Macaca fascicularis: one gene and its partners. The protein of the gene in region 1 purifies or fractionates together with the protein of each later gene. This does not show direct contact. Links are inferred from orthologs where the notes say so. Each region holds a gene or a part of one and is shown on either strand. Other genes may lie near its edges.

What was found. The genes of interacting proteins can lie anywhere in the genome.
Region 2: the proteins of BET1 (region 1) and GOSR2 purify together in Homo sapiens (affinity purification with mass spectrometry; 3 studies listed by BioGRID and IntAct, with this or other methods). This does not show direct contact. The link is inferred for Macaca fascicularis from reciprocal best matches to the Homo sapiens genes BET1 and GOSR2.
Region 3: the proteins of BET1 (region 1) and STX7 purify together in Homo sapiens (affinity purification with mass spectrometry; 3 studies listed by BioGRID and IntAct, with this or other methods). This does not show direct contact. The link is inferred for Macaca fascicularis from reciprocal best matches to the Homo sapiens genes BET1 and STX7.
Region 4: the proteins of BET1 (region 1) and GOSR1 purify together in Homo sapiens (affinity purification with mass spectrometry; 3 studies listed by BioGRID and IntAct, with this or other methods). This does not show direct contact. The link is inferred for Macaca fascicularis from reciprocal best matches to the Homo sapiens genes BET1 and GOSR1.

The regions. Positions count from the first base shown.
Region 1 is NC_088377.1:127,321,444-127,325,591, reverse strand, and holds the start of BET1 (BET1 homolog), read right to left. Parts: upstream 2,801-4,148; 5' UTR 2,659-2,800; coding exon 2,640-2,658; intron 1-2,639. UniProt on the Homo sapiens protein: Required for vesicular transport from the ER to the Golgi complex. Functions as a SNARE involved in the docking process of ER-derived vesicles with the cis-Golgi membrane.
Region 2 is NC_088390.1:66,846,360-66,849,859, forward strand, and holds part of GOSR2 (Golgi SNAP receptor complex member 2), read right to left. Parts: intron 2,101-3,500; coding exon 1,964-2,100; intron 1,106-1,963; coding exon 973-1,105; intron 1-972. UniProt on the Homo sapiens protein: Involved in transport of proteins from the cis/medial-Golgi to the trans-Golgi network.
Region 3 is NC_088378.1:36,426,606-36,430,105, reverse strand, and holds part of STX7 (syntaxin-7), read left to right. Parts: intron 1-383; coding exon 384-477; intron 478-1,156; coding exon 1,157-1,294; intron 1,295-2,140; coding exon 2,141-2,193; intron 2,194-2,700; coding exon 2,701-2,797; intron 2,798-3,500. UniProt on the Homo sapiens protein: May be involved in protein trafficking from the plasma membrane to the early endosome (EE) as well as in homotypic fusion of endocytic organelles. Mediates the endocytic trafficking from early endosomes to late endosomes and lysosomes.
Region 4 is NC_088390.1:36,007,629-36,011,128, reverse strand, and holds part of GOSR1 (Golgi SNAP receptor complex member 1), read right to left. Parts: intron 3,176-3,500; coding exon 3,088-3,175; intron 2,749-3,087; coding exon 2,641-2,748; intron 1-2,640. UniProt on the Homo sapiens protein: Involved in transport from the ER to the Golgi apparatus as well as in intra-Golgi transport. It belongs to a super-family of proteins called t-SNAREs or soluble NSF (N-ethylmaleimide-sensitive factor) attachment protein receptor.

The DNA.
Region 1 (4,148 bases):
AGATACCTATGCAATCTCCACCACCACAAAAACCACAACAAAATATTGGAGAAGTATTTTCCAAACAGAAGAGAGTTGTACTATCTGAATTTTCCTGCTGACACACTATCCATAAAGCTCTCCACATGTGTTATTATAAAAGAACTCAAGGAGTGGGCATATTTTTTCCCCCAGTCAACAATTAAAGTTACCATTTAAAAACGCATTCCTACTCTATTAATCAATGATACTCTGTGCAAACTGTAGTTTAATAAGGGCCAAGATACTTAAAGAAAAGAATAATGTCTTCTTATTTTGTGTGGCTGAGGTTCTGAGTATACAACATTTACCCAGTAAGTAATTACTGACTGGTTGAATGGAAACATTTGACAACTTCACCAAGGAATTCATTCTAAATTTTTTCTTTCCTATTTTCTTTCCTTTGTTTAGTTGCTTTTGCCTATCTTAATTTTAATTTTAGAGTTCTTCCATGCTGTTCCATTTATTCAAAGTGATATTCTTGTTGTATTTATTGCCAAAAATATATCAATGCACATTTCTATTGAAGAGTTGATCTTCCCTCAAACTATGACCCATCCCAAATACAATGAAAAAAGTAAAAAACAAATAAAATGCTAGAATTGCTATTCCAAACAGAGCCACTTCCCTTCTGGTGGTGTACTGCTATGAAAAGTTGTAAAAAAGCTAGTGATTACTGAAGATCATCCTCAGCCTTTGTTTATTTAGATAAACGCTACTTCTTTTGGATGGGTTCTATCAGTAAGCTAACAAAACCAGTTATCATGTGAAGTGTGGCAACTTCTGCCTACAGATATCTATCAGATTCACTATGATCCCAAATTTAAAATTTCAGGTCAATATACATTCATACTTTAAAAATAAGAAAAGAAAAAATGTTTTGTTTTTTTTTTTTTTTTAAAGAGTAGGTAGTGGGTTCTAAATTAGTGAAATTCTAATTTAACTGGCTGAGCTGAGGTCCAGGAAACAATACTTTAAAAATTTCCCAGGGGATTCTAATGTACAGTCAGGGCTGAGAATCATTACTCAAGTCACTTTCCTGTAATTTAACATGGCACACTGCAGCAGAAAAATGCTCAAAAGGGCCTAGGGGCCTACTGATGAAATCCAAACTCTTTGGCCTCGCATGCGAAGATCTCCACAGTGTGATCCCGCATCACTTACTTCACCCAAACTGGTTTAATCATAATCCCTTATTTCTTTTTAGTTCCTCCTATCTGGAACCCACTTCCCCTACTCTCAATTATTCAAGGTCTACTTCAAATTCCTATGTCTCCACAAAATACACAAGGATCTTCTCCACAAAGTACACAGTAATCTGTCTCTGAAATCTCTGAGACCATCCCTTGTATGTAGAACCTATCTGGTATTTGGATGTATAGCGACTACTTTGTACTATAACTTATCTTTGCACATATTTCTACTCTCCAACTAGACTGGAAGCTTTGGGGATCGCAAACCGGGCAACAAACAACTGTATACCTAGAGCTTACTCAAGCACACAATAAATCTTTTTTTGTCATTAATGATGATGAACAAGAAAAACATTTACACATATAAAACCAAACTTACTCAAAATTCTTTCTTTTTTTTTTCTCATCAATTTACCTGGCCCCACTTTCTATGATCCAAGTATTCATAAAAACTTCATTAAAAAAAACAAAAAACTTTTTCATACTACAATTTATTAATAAATAAACAAGTCTATGGTTATTGGCAACTTTCATTATATCTGACACATTGGGGAATTTGTTTTTCTTTCTTCAATCTTATAATGACTGAGAAAGGTAACACTATCTTTTTTCAAAAGTTTCATTTATTTTCTGAAGTATACTGCACTCTTAATTTAGCAGGGTCTTCTTTAAAAAAAAAAAAAATAAAAAATAAATCGTGTCCTAAGAGAAAGCTTCAGAATCAGAAAATGCTGTTCTAGTAGCTGTGCGTTACTATAAGGGCCCATTAAAATTCCTTGGGTCTAACTTATTCTTGCTGATGAGCCACTTTACTAACCCCAAAGGTAAAGATCAAATGTTAAGTCGCCAAACCTTATCACGTTCTACTGCCTTAACCGTGGCACAAGGTTCAGATTAAGAAATCGCCTTTGACCCAGAAGTTACAGTTCCAGGACCTTTAACAATAATGACACGTACATTTATTTACCTTTGTAACTCACTGTTACCAGACTAACGACCACTACTACTAGTGTGTTTTGCGTGCAACCACCCACTCTTCAAATTCCACTTCTGAAGAAACTAAGATCCAGGGCCAGTAGAGGAAGAGAAACCGGAGTCGGGCTTTGGAAAACATAGCAGTGTCCATAACCACGCTCAGGCAATAACACTAAGACACTCGACCACTGAGATGCCACCTGTACACACCCACCCCCAGTCCACTACTTTCTCTAGCCTACCATCCAAACTTGAATCTGACTCAGACTTAAGGAAACTCCAAGGAACTGGGACAAATGGTATGTTTCCATTCGACTTGGCCCACAAAGATCCCCTCTAGACAGCCTGTTTTTTGGACCAAATGCCAGGAACAGAAGACAGGTTCGATTTCTTTCCGCGCCCAGCATGGCCGGTTCTAGGGCCCCGAACTTCGAACCTCAGCCCTCTTCTTACCCAGGCCTGCACGCCTCATCCTGCCAGAGGAGAGAGAGAAAAGGCGGGCGCGGGGGGTTGGGTGAGTAGGAAAGAGCTGTGACCCCGACCGCGTCTTCAGTACCAGGGCCGGGCGAAACACCAACTTCTTCCCCTAAAGCGCCACGACATCAGTGTAGTCTAAACACCGCGCCTGCTGATGGCGTCACCAGGGCGCTCATTGGAGCCCTGGGAAGAAGGTTGAATGGCATTCTGGGAAATGTAGTTCACCGACGCATAAAGTGTTGTTGAGGGCGTGGTGTGAGCCAGGTTCCAGGGGCGGCCGGGGCTTCCGGTAAAGGGGCCGGCTTCTACTGCTGCTCCGACAACGTTCCAGCTGCTCCGCTCGCAGCTTCAGGTAGCTGCTTTCAGTTTGTTAACCACCAAGATTAACCCAGCAGATCTGCTCCTCCCGACCCACAAGAGGGTGGTTGGGGTATCTTTCCTGATTCAGCCTCGTACTCCCTCTCACCTCCAGAGGCAGTTGAGGGAAAGTTAGACAAAACTTTGTTCAGGTTTCTCAGTTTACAAACAAGTAATCCGACACCCACAGAAGTAACCGATGTGTGCCTCGTAGTATCCGGTAAAGGAGAGAAAACCAGGTGCCTTTGAGTAGGACTCCTGCTCGGATAAGAGCCAACTAGGAAAGGCGCGGGGTCTCGTCGGAGGCACTGAATAATTTGTGAATAGTTAGTTCCCTGTTACTGCATCTGTTGTACTTCTAGAAGGAACCAAGACTTTTAGTTGTTATAGGGACCAAAGGACCCCTAAACTCCCTCCCACTTAACTTTTTACACAAAGCAGTGTGCCAGTTTAGGGGTTTAAAAGCTTGCTGGCGAGTTGGAGGTGTTACTGGTATCGGGGTTAATCCTAGAATTTCATTTTATCTCACAGGATTATTTATCGTGAGAATACGATGAAATCATGGTTTTTGAAGGAAAAAAAAAAACCTGATACACAGGAGGCCATCAAAATCCACTGGGTGTCTGCGGTTTTGTTGTTGCTGCTGTATATATGGCAGTGGAATCGTCTCCACACTAGAGTTTCCGAATATGTGATCTCTGATCACTTAGCGTTTCCTCATAGTTTCCCAGGACATTATTAACATTGACTATAACAGTGGCATAAGTCTCTGCGTTAAGTTGCTCTGGTAAAAAACACACGAAAACAATTTTTGATAAGAGTTATTAACCTGGGAAGGAAGCTTTATCCAATAGTGTTTTGATAGAAAAAAATCGCCATTTTCTAAAAGCAATGGAATTAACTGAGCATAATATCAGGGACAATTATTACAAATAAAAGATGAAGATTCAATAAAAGAAATGATAGCTAGGTATCCCTTTATGAGTTAAAATCTGTGACGTCCTCTGGTTAAAAAAATTGCATATTATATAATTAAAACATGTTTAAAAATTGTCTTACTGAAAGTTTGCTGATAGAAATGTAGAAACCGTTATTTTTGAAAATATGTTAATATTTACCAGAACTAAC
Region 2 (3,500 bases), on another chromosome or scaffold:
TGGTCTAAAAAAGGCCTGAATACTACATTATTAACGATCTAAAATCCAACCATCTTTTAGTGTGTCTTATAGTTCATTAAATTTTTGAACTGTTAAACACTGCGACTTGACTGCTTAGTCTGGGGAAGCAAAACAACGTTGGCAGAGCCTGAAACACTTGGGGAAATTTACTGCAAAGCAAGGATGCAGCATTGAGGGTTAAACATCTACAAAGCGGGAAATGATGTGAATTTTAACAACAGGCTTAGAAAGCTAACATCTCTTTAGAAAATAATCCTCTGTAAAAAACAACATACAAAAAGCCAAAGCACACTTCACTTAGTGGAATATATTATGCAGGACACAGAAAAGGCCAGTCTGTTCTACAGCCACGTGCAGGAAATGATCTGGTTAAGACTAAAGGGCAGGGACAATGGGTTCTGAGAAATCCAACGTGCACACCAACACATTTTCAGACAGACTCAGGCAAGCAGTCCGTCTAACCCTACACATCCGTTAACAAATTCCTCCAAATTGCTGCTCAGACTAGGGGCAAAAACATTTTAATGCACCTGACACTGGAACCACACACATACCCGGCACAACGGCCACTGCCCGCAGGCAGCTCTGAAATACCGCCTTCTCTACAAATGGCCTAAGTTCTAATCATCTGTCTCTATCTGATCAGAAAAACGTTTCCACTATGTGAACTTCCACCTTTCTGTCTCAGACCAGTCCAACCAGGTAATTTTCACCTCTGCCTATTCCCCTTCAATTTAACTGCTTCCTCTTCAGGTTTTTGTCTTAGAAAAAGGGATTCTCTGTCGAGGTCTAGTCTCTGTGGCAATGCACAAAGTTCCCGTCATTTCCAGTTGGTTTCCTCATCACCAGTCTTCTTCAGATACCCCCAAAACAGATGGCGCTCAGAGATCTGAACTCCAGCCCCCACAATCTGCCAAATGCAGGCCGACCCTCACCGCAGGCCTGGCTTACGTTAGTGGTGAAGGTTCGAGACAGAAGCTCTTCTCGCTGTCTCTCCTGCTGCTCCCTTGCATGGCGCCGATGCTGGAAGTTTCTGAGCGCAGTCTGCAGGTGCTGGACATCATACTTTAACTGGTCGACCCGACTGGAATTGATGGAGAGAGAGATTAAATTCCAGGAACTCAGGGCAGCAGAGTCTCAGGGGGCCAGGCTTTGTATTCAGGAAAGACAGCATTTCCTTACTTCTCCCTACACCACCCCACGCTATACCCCACCACCACAAGATCTGATTTTGATCAATGATGTTGAAAGTAAAGAAGTAACGTGTGGTTAAAGCGAGATGGTAGCACACAAGCTTCTGGCAGCTTTACTTCAGAATCTGTTGCTCTCTGATTCTGGATGCATGACAGGGAACAGGGGACAGGAAGCAGGCTCGCTGACCTCTTCTTGACCTTCTATGGATTATATCGCTCTCCTGGAAGAAGCCCAAGGGCATCTTTGAGGTAAAGCATCCACAAAGTATCATAAAACTTTTGGAAACAGGCACTGGGGGTGGAGTGGCGAAGGTGGTTTCATTTTAATTTCATGGTGGAGTATCAAACATTAGATCAGCATTTCATTATGGGTGGACTGATTCAAGTGATTTTTCATTTCAACCCAAGAAGAACCCAGCAGGAACCAAAGAGCAGAACAAAACTCCATGGCAACATTAGGCTTCAGGTGGCTATGGGTCTAGTCAGAAAAACAGAACTGGAGGCAGAATTTCAAAATGACACCAAAGGGGTCACAAGGTTTCTGAGTCACAAACCTCACAGGCTATTTATTTTGAGGAGCATTACTCAGATACAACTGTGCCCTTTGGGGGGACTTTTTCTTTACATAGTCGTAGTTTTTCAACATGTACGTGGGTTTTCAGAATATTCTATCGCCTCCCCCCCCCCAGGAGAAAAGCCTATCTTGCCAGGCCTGGAGTAGCAGTGCCATGTCAGAGGTCAGCACTTACAGTTTGGCATTTTGCCTTTTGTTAGGGGGCTCCTTGCTGGACAAAATCTCCAGACGTTCTAGACGGCTGAATATCTGGTCTATGCTTGCTTGGATTTCGTTTTCTACTACTGTACAAAAAAGAAAAAAGAATAATTGCTGGAAAAGAGATAGTGAACTTAAATTAGAATAAATTACAGATTTTTTTTTCAATATCCAATAAACTAGAACTACATATTTCAAAAGGAGAAAAATGTATACACTAATGAATAACAGAAAAAATTCAAATTATGCCGTAAATGTTGTTTTGAAAAAAGTACATGTATATAGTTGTTAATGACACAACAATGCCAATTTTTTTAAAAAGCTGAAGGTAAATCTGTAGAAATAAATTTCCTACCTTTAGAAAATAAACATGCAAAGGTTGTACAAATAAATACTTTAAGCTAAATTTTCTGATATAGGTCTCTTTTCCTTTGGATTTCTCAGACGTGGATTATAAATACCTAGTAAAAAGACTGCCAGTTGAATTCCCTATAGTAATGAGTTTTTTTTTTTTTTTTAATTAAAAAAAAAAAAGCATAAAGGAAGGGGAAGATTAGTATGTGAAACATACAGAGGAGAGCTCCCTTAAGGCTTTCTGTAAGAATGGGTGGGCTGAGCAATGTTGACGTCCCCAAAATAGACCAAATATCAATAGGAAAGGCCCAGGAAAGAATCCACAGAGGTAAAGAGATATGATAAATACGGTCATTTTCCTTATCTCTTTCGATAAGACAGTCAAAATGACCTCTTTCCATTTCTAATCATGTAACGAGATTGCTGAGAAGGCAAACAAAGTCCAATGAACAAAAAAGCTAAACTGTGCACAAAAGAAAGCATCCAGACTGCTTCTTGCCCATAAAGAAGTGACAGCAGTGACACTGCCCCTTCCTAGGCCTTTGCGCCCACAGTAAACAAAGACAGTTGAGATTAGAACAAGGTGGGGCACAGAACCAAGAACAGAGCTGCTTTTGAAGCTGTGAAAGGAGACGTGAGAGAACAGGAGGAATGGGTCCGGAGGGAGCCCAGCAGTGGGGTGGGTAGGCAGTCCCCGCAGGTGGTGTCCATATGACTGACTCAGAAAAAAGATCTTTCCTTAGAATAGAAAAAAAAAAAAAAACCAAAAAAAACAAAAATCCAGCATGCTTCTCAAAAGAAACCATGCTGTGGGAACTAAACTAATTAATATTGCTGTTCGTTTCTGAATAATCCTCCTTAAAAGCCACAGTTCTCAGCTCAGAAGAAATGGCCAATTCCAGTTAAACATCTCTGAATTTTTATGGAGTACATTCCTCTAAGGACTAGGTAATTAGATTAAGACAGATGGAGGCAAGCGCTTCCATTCCCATAGGGCCATGTCAGGTTGAGTGGAGGGGTAATGGGGGATAAGACTTGTGGGATTCCAAAGGGCACACTCAGGGAAATCAGTGATTTTGCCATAGGGTTTTTCTGTCCACCCTAACAACAAAACTCATTCCACGCTGAATCATTAAGCCCCCGAGGCAGAGTGCAGTCAG
Region 3 (3,500 bases), on another chromosome or scaffold:
TTTTCTTGCTCACCTGACCTTCCAGGTGTGAGATGCAGATTAAGGGCTGCCACATCCCCAGTATCTCAAACAAAGGATCAGACATCCAACAGTCTCTCCTTCAAGTTCCCTCTGATTTGAGTCATCTGTGTTTCTAAATGGTCATTGATACTGGTTTCTCTAAGCTCACCTACCCTGTGTCAGTGAAGAACCTGACATGTAATATTTGCTCAATATTTATCAAAGAATAGGATATGAAATTTTTTTGATAGAGAAAGTTGAGAGCCAGTTTATGAAAAGGCAATTTTTGTACAACTCTTTGTCAGTGTTGATTCAAATGACAGAGTTGTAGCTTAAAGAAGTGTATTAGTCCTTTGGTTGTAATGCGTGCTTTCTCACTTTAGGCAACAGAAGCAGCAGTATACTAACCAGCTTGCCAAAGAAACAGATAAGTACATTAAAGAGTTTGGATCTCTGCCCACCACCCCCAGTGAACAGGTATCAAGCTTTAAGACACATTGTTGATGCATTGAATGTGAAAAAAACCAAATACGTTGTAGGATCTTTGAACTGTTACGCTAGAAAGGAAATTATGCTAGAAAGGAAATCAAAAATAATTCTGTTTGAGATTAGTTCATAGAACACAAAACTATATTTAATTGCTCAGGTAGTATCCTGTGGTTCAATAAAGCAAAAATTATTTCCATGCATTTGCCCTGACCCATAATTAAGTAAGTTCTCAGAAAATGCTTCCTGAGTAATTATTTCCTGGCCTTCCGGGGCTGAGTGCGTGGAACATGCAGGCTCATTCAAGATGTGAGGTGTCCTGGGGGCATATATTTATTTCCCTGCTTATTTAATGGAAGTTATTACTTAGCTAAAAGTATAAGGCTTTATTTGCCTGAAAAGGAATTACTTTAAAATAGCCTCAAAATAATGAGCTAGTTTTTAGCAGCATGAAAACTTGAGGTGAGAAATCCAGCATAATGGGTCTTTTGCCTCCAGTTAAATATGCTCGGTATTTGACATACTGTCAGAATGTTGTTGAGAGTTAATCCGTAAGGCCCTGTAATTGGGGAGCAAGTGAAAACTTCAGGATTAAATAAAGAACCAAGTACTGCAAACTGTTTTACTTCACAGCTAGATTCTAGTTGGCTTTTTCTTCTCTTTCCTCTAGCGTCAAAGGAAAATACAGAAGGATCGCTTAGTGGCAGAGTTCACAGCATCACTGACAAACTTCCAGAAGGTTCAGAGGCAAGCGGCTGAGCGAGAGAAAGAGTTTGTTGCTCGAGTAAGAGCCAGTTCCAGAGTGTCTGTGAGTATTTTAAAAGACATTCTAGAAACGACCCTTACTTCCTAAGGGTCCTATCAAAGTCTATAGTAGCATAATTTTTTAAGTCATAAAGATCTGTGACTAACTTGGAAATCAGCACTTGAATATTCATTTTTATGCTTTTCTGCTCCATTTTTGGAGAAGATGATAATTATGTATTACTGTGGTTTTTTTTCTGTGTCATTGTACAGAAGATTACAGACTATATAAAAATATAGAGACGTATTTTGTCAAAAAAGATGAGGGATCAAACCCTGAGTAGTATTCTCACATCGTCTTGGTACGGAGGCTTTCTGCTTGTGGACACACTAGTATAGAAAGCACTTTCCTCCTGGATTACACCAAGATGACGGAGATGAATGGCGCAACTATGTTGTCTGAATATTGAAAATGAACATGAGCCTGGAGAAAATAAATGAAAGGAAGCTTTACAATAGAATTTTGAATTAATTTAATTTTAAATTCCCTTACAAACTATCACGAGTTTTCTTATTCATTAACATATGAATTCCAAGACTACATTAAGCTTTAACTAAATAATACTTATTTGACCCTTGAGAATGTTTAGTGTTTGTCTACTTAGAATATAAAATTACTTATAATTATGTTATTACTTGAAGCAGTTGACCTGAAAAATTAGAACAAGAACTTCTTTCTCTCTCTCTCTACACACACCACACACACACACACACACACACACACACACACACACACACAGAGACATGTACATAAATCGTTTAGATTATTAGGGAAAATATGAGTGTTTATTTTTTCTCATTTTTGCTTTCTTTGCCACTTCTCATTCCATCCTGTTACTAAATCATTCAGGGCGGTTTTCCTGAGGACAGCTCAAAAGAAAGGAATCTTGTATCCTGGGAAAGGTAAGAAATACAAAACATTTTTCAGATCAAAAGGTAATTTTTCAAAGTTTATACATTAAGGCCCCTGGAACAGAATTAAAGCTTTCAATATAAGTTGTTTATATGTTGAAAACAGAGTAAATTTGAAAAAAAATTTAATTATAAAGTATTTATCATAAAATATATAAAATTTTCCAAATAAATGTTTATGGACTTAATTAATAATATAGACTTTCCCTTATATGAGGTTTAAATCAACTAAGAAGAAATACCCAGTTGACAAATATAGCTTCCAATAATTAAGTAATAACTCTAAACTCACGTTAGATAAAATGATATAAGTGAAATGAAAAATGAATAAAATTTTATTCATATATCTGTTATAGTCTTAGAATTTTTTAAGTGAGTAGTTCTGCGACTTTGAAGAGTAAAACGTCCTATTTAATGAATATATCTTAAATAGGAAATGAATCTCATTGTTTTGAATACCAATCTTTGTTTTTTTCCACATTCATTTTTTTCTGTTAGCCAAACTCAACCTCAAGTGCAGGTGCAGGATGAAGAAATTACAGAGGATGACCTCCGCCTTATTCATGAGAGAGAATCTTCTATCAGGCAACTTGAAGTAAGGCTTACATTGTAGACTTGGGCTGCTACCCTGTTCTTAGTGAGTTTGTTCTCAAAATGCTTAGGTAATGCTGGCAGAGCGTACGAGAAAGAAATTTTATTTTTTTCTTTTTGAGACAGTCTCCCTCTGTCGCCCAGACTGGAGTGCAATGGCATGATCTCGGCTCATTGCAATCTCCATCTCCCAGATTCAAGCGATTCTCATGCCTCAGCTTCCTGAGTAGCTGGGATTACAGGCATGTGCCACCCCAACCGGCCAATTTTTTGTACTTTTAGCAGAGACAGGGTTTCACCATGTTGTCCAGGCTGGTCTCAAACTCCTGGTCTCAAGTAATCTGCCTGCCTTGGCCTCCTAAAGTACTAGGATTATAGGTGTGAGCCACCATGTCTGGCCCAGAGAAAGAAAATTAATGTATCAGTTTGGTAGCATTTGTAATGTATAAATTAGAATAATTCCTTTTTGAAAAAAATAATATTGTCCTTACTGTTTGTGCTAGGATGAGGGAACATACTCCCTCCTACTGCAGCTTTTAAAAAATTATGATTCTATTAAGCCATCTATGGACTACCTTAGTATTGAGAAAATACCAGTGTAGAGATAAATGTCTGTCCGAGAGTCTGGATGTCTTCCCAGGATACATGATACACATCATACGTGCATGAGTAAGACCTTTTATAAAGCCTTCAAAGAATTTTATTTC
Region 4 (3,500 bases), on another chromosome or scaffold:
ACCAGCAATATAGGAGTGCCGTTTTTTAATTTTTATTCTTGCCAATAATGGGTTATAAATGTTTCAACATTTGCTAACCTGACAGGTGAAAAATCACCTCTTTTAGATTTCTGTATTTTTATTTGGAAATACTGCTGAAACTGTTTTTATAGTTTTGGCCACTCATTTTTTGTAAGCAATTTTACACCCTTTGTCCATTTTCCTAGTGTCTTTTTCTTATTTCTATTATTTCTCTGTGTAGTAAGCAAATTAGTCATTTGTTACAGTTTCCAGTATCAAGTCTTATTTAGAAAGTCCTTTCTGCTCAAAAGTTTATAAATTTCACCTCTGCTTTATGGTTTCTTTTTCTACACTTCTTGGATCCATTTGGAATTTGTTCTGGATGTGAGGATTGAGATAGAATTTTTTTTTTTAAATCCCTGAATAATTAGGCAATGGTTATAGTTCCATTTATTTTATAATTTCTCTTTGCCGCACTGATTTTAAACAACATCTTTATCAGAAACTAAAAATTTCCATACATAATTGGGTCTACATATAAACTCTACTCTGTTTAATTGTTCTTATTTATTTAATTATTTTTCCCTCTAGTATCAAACTGTTTCAACTATTTCAGCTTTTTAACAGGTTTTAAGATCTGGGAGAACTACAAACCCTCTACCACTTATCTTCATTTTCAAGTTGTTCTTCTTGGTTGTTCTTGTATGTCTATGATTCCAAATGAACTTTGGTATCATTCTGTCATTTGTTTTTAATTAAACAAACAACAAAACAACCCTGCTGTTTCCACTGGGATGCCATGCAATTCAGACGAAAGTCTTCCCATCCAAAAACGGACTGATTCTTTCCTTTACTTAAATCTTGTTCTATGTCCCTCAGTAGAATTTTGCACATACAAGTCCTACACATTTCTTATTTAATTCATACATAAATACTTTATAGTTTCTTCCATTATATTTTCTAACAGGTTATCATTTATTTCCTATCATAGTAGGAAAACTATTTGCTTTTATGTATTCATTTTATAATCTACCATCTTACTGAATTTAATTGTTTCTAACTTTTTATCAGGTAATTTTCCTGGGTATACTAGACATAAAATTTTATCCTGCTACCTCACAGAAATTTTGCCTCTTCCTTTCCAATATTTACAACTTTTTTTTTTTTTTTTTTTTTGAGACAGTCTCACTCTGTTGCCCAGGCTGGAGTGCAGTGGCTCAATCTCGGCTCACTGCAACCTCCACCTCCTGGGTTCAAGGGTTCAAGCTATTCTCCTGCCTCAGCCTCCCAAGTAGCTGGGATAACAGGCACCCACCACCATGCCCCGCTAATTTTTGTATTTTTAGTAGAGAAGGGGTTTCACCCTGTTGGCCAGGCTAGTCTCCAACTCCGGATCTCAAATGATCCACCCACCTCAGACTTCCAAAGTGCTGGGACAAGAGGCGTGAGCCACCATGCCCAGCCTACATTTCATTTCTTTTTACTGTCTAATTGCACCATCAAGAACTTCAAAAACAATGTTATGCATTTGTAGTGATCATGGGTATCCTTGTGTTGTTTTATTCAATGGGAATGTTTTTATTGCCTGGCTTATTTTTGTACTTTAGTAGAGACGGGGTTTCGCCATGTTGGCCAGGCTGGTCTCCAACTCCTGACCTCAGGTGATCCACTCACCTCATGCCTCCCAAAGTGCTGGGATTACAGGCATGAGCCACCGCGTCTGGCCATCTATTCCTACTTTTAAAAACAGTTTTTAAAATTAGAAATAGTTGCTGACTTTTCACAGTATTAAAAATATTTGTGGCTGGGTACAGCAGCTCATGCCTGTAATTCTAGCACTTTGGAAGGCCGAGGTGGGTAGACTGCCCACACACAGGAGTTAAGAGAACAGCCTGGGCAACATAGTAAAAACCTGTGAACAGAGGAGTTACAGACCAGCCTGAGCAACACGGCAAGGACGTGTCTCTGCTAAAAAACTTTTAAAAAATTGGCCAGGTGTGGTGGCATGTGCTTGTGGTCCCAGATGCTCAGGAGGCTGAGGTAGGAGGATTGTTTGAGCTTGGGAGGTTGAGGCCGCAGTGAGCTGTGATTGCACTACTGCACTCCAGCCTGGGTGACAGAGAGACCCTATCTCAAAAAAAAAAAAAAATTGCCTTCCTATTTGTACTACTATATTTTTAACATATCCTCCATTTAAATCTTTAAGAGTTTAGTTTTATTGGTGCATAAACATTTATTGTTTTCTCAAACAATACACTGAGTATAGTAAATAAGTCATCTTCAAAGCCAGATGAAAGCACACTCTAACCCACAATGTTACTGTCTATACATGACCATTGACTAGTTCACGGTTACAGCTAGCTAGCTAGGTCTCCCAGAATGGAAGTATATTACCCAGTGATGAATATTAGTCAACTTCGCCAGGAAATAGCAAGAGCTATTAGATATTTTCAGAATTTTATAATGGTGACCAAAAAAAAAAAAAAGTAAAACAAGTCCCTCTAGCATGGCATTTATTTTCTCAGATGTTTCTCTTTGTCATTTTAAATACATGTGCATATATCCAATGCAGAGATTAAAAAAAAAAAAAAAAACCCGAACTCCTGTGATAATGAAAATGTCTCGAGCCCAATATATTACCTGCAATATGTCTCTATGCCGCTGTAATGTATGCATCAGGGCCGCATTCAAGGAGGGGACACCTGCACTGTTGGTATATTCTGCCATTTTATCGTTTACCCCTGTAAGCTAGAAATAAAGAAAAAAAAATATTTTACTAAGCACTATAAACAGCTAAAAGCAAATTATTTGCCTATATGCCCTTTTGGTTGACAGCAAAACAAAACAAAACAAAAAACAAACAAGATATCAAGTAAGAATTAAGCATTCCCCCACATAATCCATAAAGACCAAAATAACATCGTATCACCTGAGAATGGCTGTCATCAAAATTCAAGTGGTGTGGGGAGGTACACATCTTGAATGGAATGGATAATTTCATTAAACATGTCTGTCTCAATACAATCCAGGATCCTATCTAACAAGTATACAGTTATTTGCAAAACAGCCATTTAACAAAGCACTTACCCTTGCCAAAAGTTGTTCAATCTCGATCGCCATTGTCTCAAACATTCTGTCTTGGCTTGATCCATTTAAAAGAGGTGTTGTATCAGAACTAAAAAGAAGTTCAGTTAAAGAGGATCCATTACTCAAATGCAGTCCTTTAAAACATACTTAAAATAATAAGGTAATTAATATGAACCATAAAATGAATTATGGATTATGTTATATAGGGTCTGTGAGAAACAATCTTTTACATTTTTACCTCAAAGGAATTATGGTTCCTTCAACCTCAACTTTAAGTTCTCTCTTCTTTCCTTGACTCTTACCAAGAGGAAATAAGATTGAGGTTTAAATGATCCACAGATTGGATAACTAGCTAACGAATACTCAGGAACTGGCTTTACATTCAATATATACAGCCACCTGCATACTTTGGT